Callithrix jacchus: one gene and its partner. The protein of the gene in region 1 interacts with the protein of each later gene in a biochemical or structural test. Links are inferred from orthologs where the notes say so. Each region holds a gene or a part of one and is shown in the gene's direction. Other genes may lie near its edges.

Region 1 (3,500 bases):
TATTCCTATGGATATAGAAGTGGGAATTGCTAGTTCAAAGAGTGAGTATTTCACATTTTAGTATGTTTTGCCAAAATGCCTTCTGAGAATAGGGGGCTTTTTCTAACTCTTAAGACTGCGTTAGATTCTGTAGTGCTTTAAGATCCTGTGGTGCTCTATATTTTTATAATCTTCATAACAGTTTTCTATTGTCAGTCTTTACTGGTTTATCTGCTACCTGCATTGGCTGGCATAGTGTCTATCACTAAGTTGCAGTAGATATTCACTAAATATAAGTTAAGTCCTGCTTGCAGTTTGTGTGTATTAATGATGGGAAGTTAGGGTGGAGGTTTGGTTTTCTGATTTTTTTTTTTTTTTTTTTTTTTTTGGTACAGAGTTTTTCCTCTTTTTCTCAGACTCCCTACTTTGAAGGAAAAAAAAAGCATTGTGGTTTGTTGAATATTGCTTGGTCTTGAGATATTTTCTTCTGCTAACTGGGTTTGTTTGCTGCTGAGAAAGTTGTGCCTAACATATTACCGAGGTTACCTTCCTGCCCTCCACCCTACCTGATGAAGGGCTTTGCTTTGCTTTCAGCTCAAGTTTAAAGTGCTCTTTTCCAGAAGGGCAGCCCCTCTGACTCCACTTTCTTGCTTTAATCTGATCCAGACTGTTTTGCATGTTGATAATACTTCTTTTAAGTTAATAGAAGAGATGAGGCCTTTTTCTACTTTTAGCATAGGTGATGATATCTTTTATTTTTTTAGATTTGTTTATTTTGCTTATTTGAAGTTCTACAAACTTTAAGTAACATTAGTGATTTTTTTCTCAATAAAACTTATTCCTGCAAGTATATCTATTTGCAAAACATTTTTATTCAGTGCCATCTTTTTTTCTTTTGGTTTAGATAACCTCAAAATCTCAGACTTTGGCTTGGCAACAGTGTTTCGGTATAATAATCGTGAGCGTTTGTTGAACAAGATGTGTGGTACTTTACCATATGTTGCTCCAGAACTTCTGAAGAAAAGAGAATTTCATGCAGAACCAGTTGATGTTTGGTCCTGTGGAATAGTACTTACTGCAATGCTCGCTGGAGGTAAGAACTGCTTAATCATGGTAAAACTCCTGTCCTATGAAAAGTCAGATTAGTTATTCTGAAATAAATGAAATAAACCAAGGAATTCATATTTATATAATGGTTTTTTGTTTTCTTTTTTAAGAGAGAGGGTCTCACTCTGTTCCCCAAACTGGAATACAATGAGCTATACTGCAGCCTCAAGCTTCTGGGCTCACCAGTCCTCTGGCCTCACTATTTCAAGTAGCTAGGACCACAGCTGCCAGCCACAAGATGTCTGGCTAAGTTTTACAAATTTTTTGTAGAGTTAGGGTCTTGCTGTGTTGTCCAGGCTGATCTTAAACACCTGGCCTCCAGCAAGTCTTCTGTCTTCGCCTCCCAAACTGTTAGGAGTAAAGGCGTGGGCCATGGCACTCAGCTTCTGTAGCAGTATTTTAATAGTGTTTTGATCAGTTTGTGCTGCTGTAGCAAAGTATCATAGACTACATACCTTATAAACATCAAATTTATTTCTCACAGTTCTGGAGACTGAAAGTATGATATTAGGGGAACCAGCCTGGTCATGTTTCAGTAAGGGTCCTCTTCCTGATTTGCAGATGGCTGTCTTGCTGTATGCTCACATGGTGGGCAGCCAAGAGAGCTGAAGCAAGCCCTCTAGTATTTTTTTTTTTTTTTTTTGAGACCAGAGTCTCACTCTGTCACCCAGGTTGGAGTGCAGTAGCATGATCTCAGCTCATTGCAACCTCTGCCTCCTGGGTCTGGTGATCCTCCTGCCCCAGCCTCCCAGCTTACAGGTAAGTGCCATCCTGCCCAGCTAATTTTTATATTTTGAGTATAGACAGTTTCACCATGTTGTTGGCCAGACTGGTCTCAAACTCCTGACCTCAAGTGATCTGCTCACCTCAGCCTCCCAAAGTACTGTGTTGGGGGTGGGAGGGTATGGGTGTGTGTGTGTGTGTGTGTGTGTGTGTGTGTCTGTTGACCAGATCTTGTGAGACATTGTGTCTGAGTTTTTTTTTATTATTATTTGAGACAGGATCTCACTCTGTTGCCCACGCTGGAGTGCAGTGGCACAATTCAAGGCTCACTGCAGCCTTGACCTCCCAAGCTCAAGCAATCTTCCCACCTCAGTCCCCTGAGTATCTGGGACTGCAGGTGTGCACCACCACACCTGGCTAATTTTTTGTGTTCTTTTAGAGACAGTCTTCCCATGTTATCCAGGCTGGTCTTAAACTCCTGGACTCAAGTGATCTGCCTACCTTGGCTTCCCAAAGTGCTGGAATTACATAATTAGTACCCTATAAAAACACAATATTGGCTGGACACATGAGCCTTTATTAGATACTAATAAGGTCTTAATAAGGGCACTAATACCACTTTTTGAGGGATGCCATTCTCAGGACCTAATCACCACTCAAAGGCCCCACCTCCAAATGCCATTGCATTGTGAGTTAGGATTTCAACATGACTTTTGAGGGGGACACAAATGTTTAGTACGTTGCAAGTAGTAACTTACTTATAATCCCAAATATTTTTTTAAGATGAGGCATGCATACTTATTAAATATCACAGTACTTTTCTATGGATCATGTAAACACTTTTGAAAACAAGACTAGGGCAAGAAGTGATTCATCAATTTTTTTATTTTTTGAGACAAAGTCTTGCTCTGTCACCCAGGCTGCCGTACAGTGGTATGAGTTTTGACCTCTCAGACTCAAGTGATCCTCTCATCTTAGCCTCCTGAGGAGCCAGGACTACAGATGCATGCCATCACACCAAGCTAATTTTGTTTATTTTTTGTAGAGTTGGGGTCTCACTATGTTTCCCAGGCTGGTCTCAAACTCCTGGGCTCAAGCAATCCATCTGCCTCAGCCTCCCAAAGTGCTGGAATTACAGTCCTGAGCTACCATGCCTGTCCTGATTTATCTATCTTTGAAGTGTCTCTAAACTTTCCAAGTTGGGATTCTTAGTTTGAAAACTGTATTGAATTAATTCAAAGGAACTTTTCATGGATTTGTATTATTTTTCCTTGAAATCTTTGTAAATAAGAACATTCAAGAAAATGAACTTGCTTTGTTTTTAGAATTGCCATGGGACCAACCCAGTGACAACTGTCAGGAATATTCTGACTGGAAAGAAAAAAAAACATACCTCAACCCTTGGAAAAAACTTGATTCTGCTCCTCTAGGTAACTGGATTATCTTGAGTGAAAGAGTATTGATTTCTTGGATATGAAGTCTAATGCTATTTGAATTTTTTCTTATGTTTTTTTTTCTTTTAAATTTATGTCATGATTTTTATAAATTATTAATTGTAAATAAAAAGGAAAAAATAACTCTTTAGTCCCAGAACTCTGCAACAGATTTTTAAAAATATTTTGGGGAATGTATATTCAGAGCAACTTGAATCTATGCTTTTAAGTGGTTTTCTATTTAAAAATAAAAGTTTT
Region 2 (3,500 bases), on another chromosome or scaffold:
CTTTATCAACTTGGGAAATGTCATGAGAAAGACTATGGAAATGAGTTCCTGCCTGGAGTGCTTAGAACAGTGCATCAGCCTCTGTAGTCCTTTTTACCAGGGCAAAGCTGTACATTATGCTTGTAAGAATCATCCATATTGAATATGCCACTAGGGCTTTTTTTTTTATTGCTTTTAGTATAGAATAGAATAATAATAATTATTTTTTTTTTTTTGAGATGGAGTCTCGCTCTGTAGCCCAGACTGGAGTGCAGTGGCACAACCTCAGCTCACTACCACCTCTGCCCTCCAGGTTCAAGTGATTCTCCTGCCTCAGCCTCCCAAGTAGCTGGGACTACAGGAACACGCCACCATGCCCAGCTAATTTTTGTATTTTAGTAGAGATGGGTCTCACCATGTTGGCCAGGGTGATCACAAACTCCTGACCTCAAGTGATCCACCTGCCTTGGCCTCCGAAAGTGCTGAGATTATAGGCATGAGCCACCAGGATCAGCCAAATAATAATTTTAAGTAGAAAAAATTATCTCCAGTTGGTAGGAAAAGGTGGAAAATATGAAGCCCTCAAACAGATGGATCTAGATGGAAAATTTTGACTACTACTCATAGGCAACTATATTAGATTTTATTTATTTTCACTTTTTTTTTTTTGAGACGGAGTTTCGCTCTTGTTACCCAGGCTGGAGTGCCATGGCGTGATCTCGGCTAACCGCAACCTCCGCCTCCTGGGTTCAGGCAATTCTCCCACCTCAGCCTCCCGAGTAGCTGGGATTACAGGCATGTGCCACCATGCCCAGCTAGTTTTTTGTATTTTTAGTAGAGATGGGGTTTCACCATGTTGACCAGGATGGTCTCGATCTCTTGACCTTGTGATCTACCTGCCTCAGCCTCCCAAAGTGCTGGGATTACAGGCTTGGGCCACCGCGCCTGGCTATTTTCACTTTAGATTTCAGAAAGTTTGTGATTTAGCTTATCATTTATTGTGTTTCGTATATTTGGCAGATACTTGTGTTAGGAAATGCAGTATTACAAGAAAATGTTACTTTAGAAGTTAGCTGTTGACAGAGCCTTGGAGATTCTTAGTTATACAGATCCAGTGTTGAAATTAGGTGAAACTTTAATTTTGAGCAGTTAGAAAGGTGATCAGTGTCTACTCCCTTGCCTCTTTTTTTTTTTTTTTAGACAGAGTTTCGCTCTTGTTACCCAGGCTGGAGTGCAATGGTGTGATCTCAGCTCACCGCAACCTCCGCCTCCTGGGTTCAGGCAACTCTCCTGCCTTAGCCTCCTGAGTAGCTGGGACTACAGGCTCGCGCCACCATGCCCAGCTAATTGTTGTATTTTTGTAGAGACAGAGTTTCACCATGTTGACCAGGATGGTCTCAGTCTCTTGACCTTGTGATCCACCCACTTCGGCCTCCCAAAGTGCTGGGATTATAGGCATGAGCCACTGCGCCTGGCCTTCTCTTGCCTCTTTAACACAAGCCGAGGCCCTAGAGCTGGTTATCATGGACAGTAGATGTCTCGACTATGTCTTGCAGGAAGCCTTTGAGTTTAAGAAGCCAGTAAGACCTGTATCTCGTGGCTGCCTGCATTCTCATGGACTCCAGGAGGGTAAAGATCTCTTCACACAGAGGCAGAACTCTGACCCAGCTCGGATGGTATGTGCTCTGGCTCTCATAGAGGAATTACTGACAGGAAGAAAGGATTAAAACACCCTCTGTAATCCAGAATTGAAGGCACTACAGTAGCGCCAGCTGTCTTTACCTTGACTTTGTCTTTACCTTGACTTTGTCTTTACCTTGACTTTGTCTTTTGAAACTAGACTATCGAACATTCTTGGTGGTTTTGCTGTGTCTGGAGAGTAGACAGACTGTAGTTAGAGCAGGAGATGGTGTTTGAAATATTGGACTTGTGTAAGGAATATTTGACCTTGTTAATCTAGGAGATCTTGGGTCATCCTAAATGTATGTATGGTGGGATTACATTTCTTACTTTTTTTTTTTGAGGGGCTTTCTGGTAAAAACTGCAAAGCCTACCAGGCAAATTCTAAAAGAGTGTAACACTAGATCTCTTACTTAAAACTTGCTCTTTTACTATGCATTCTAAGTGCTTCTCAAAGAATGACTGTTGGTGAGAGAGCACTTGACTTCTTCCAAAGGTGGTTTGTTAAGAACTGTTATGGGCCAGGTGCCATGGCTCATGCCTATAATCCCAGCACTTAGGAAAATGGAGATAGGAGGATCACTTGAGTCCTGCTCAGCATAGTGAGACCCCCATCTCTCTCTCTCTTTTTTTTTTAATAACTATTATGGATTCCAGTGAACACTCAGACTGCTGGGCAGTTTTGGAGTCACTTGTTTTAGGGCTGTGTATTTGCCAGACAGAGACTGTCATTACTTCCAAAGTTTCCTGCTATTGGTCTGAATTGAATTAACCGATAGCATCTGTTGACTGGAGAGGCCCAACTTGAGCAAGATAACCACATTTGGCTTCCAGGTTTTCCTAGATTCTTAAATCTGAAAATACACCTTTCCAGCCTTGCTTGTGTTCTAAGGTTCAGCCAGTATCGCTACTGTCTAGCATTTGCACAAAGCACTTTTATATATCTTCTTGTCTTGTGAAGTAAGTGGAGTTAACCCCCTTGACAGATTAGGAAAGTACAAGAGAGGTTTACCAAAGGATATGTAAATAGGAGACTAGGATTTAATAATCTCTGGCTGGGCGTGGTGGCTTATACCTATAAGCCCAGCACTTTGGGAGACTAAGACGGAAGGATCACCTAAGGTCAGGAATTCAAGACCAGCCTTGGCAACATAGTGAGACCCTATCTGTAGAAAGTTAACAAGCTGAGTGTGGTGGCTTGTTCCTATAGTCCCAGTTACTTGGGAGGCTGAAGTGGGAGAATTGCTTGAGTCCAAGAATTCGGGGTTGCAGTGAGCTACAATCACGCCACTGTACTCCAGCCTGGGCAACAGTGAATCCCTGTCTCAAAAAGCAATCTCTGAATTCCCAGGTACACAGTAACACTTTAAGAGTTGGGTATCAGAAACAATATATTTTGTGTGTGCTTAGAGACTAGAGCCTGTATCATATCTGCACCTAGGGATCCCAGAAAATCCTCACAAAAGTTGGTGTGATATAGTGTGAGCCTTCGTGATAAAGTTATCTACCCCTAGGCTCAGCTGGCTTAAAAAAAAAAATTGCCGTTTCCCAGAGTGTGGTCAGGTATTCTTGGGGAGGACCAGAGATGCTTGTTTTATATTGCGAAGCAAAGCTAGTTTCAGAACCAGAATAGGCCAGCTGCAGAGAGGATTCCCTGGTGCATGATCCAGTCAGAAAACTGGAGGGCCACTTAACTAATGACAGATTCATACACCAGAGATTTGGATTTTAAAGATTACTTGTAGGGCTTAACATTGGAACCACATTGCTACTGTGAAAAAATAGCTCTAAGCTTTTTTTCTGGGCTTGAAAGTGCCTAGAAAAGAATTTAGTGTTAGCAG

What was found. The genes of interacting proteins can lie anywhere in the genome.
Region 2: of the proteins of CHEK1 (region 1) and CDC25A, one has a biochemical effect on the other in vitro, tested with the Homo sapiens proteins (7 studies listed by BioGRID and IntAct, with this or other methods). The link is inferred for Callithrix jacchus from reciprocal best matches to the Homo sapiens genes CHEK1 and CDC25A.

Annotation. Positions count from the first base shown.
Region 1 is NC_133511.1:25,243,875-25,247,374, forward strand, and holds part of CHEK1 (serine/threonine-protein kinase Chk1), read left to right. Parts: intron 1-883; coding exon 884-1,072; intron 1,073-3,134; coding exon 3,135-3,239; intron 3,240-3,500. UniProt on the Homo sapiens protein: Serine/threonine-protein kinase which is required for checkpoint-mediated cell cycle arrest and activation of DNA repair in response to the presence of DNA damage or unreplicated DNA.
Region 2 is NC_133516.1:30,863,477-30,866,976, reverse strand, and holds part of CDC25A (M-phase inducer phosphatase 1), read left to right. Parts: intron 1-1,535; coding exon 1,536-1,655; intron 1,656-2,001; exon of another isoform or gene 2,002-2,062; intron 2,063-3,500. UniProt on the Homo sapiens protein: Tyrosine protein phosphatase which functions as a dosage-dependent inducer of mitotic progression. Directly dephosphorylates CDK1 and stimulates its kinase activity. Also dephosphorylates CDK2 in complex with cyclin-E, in vitro.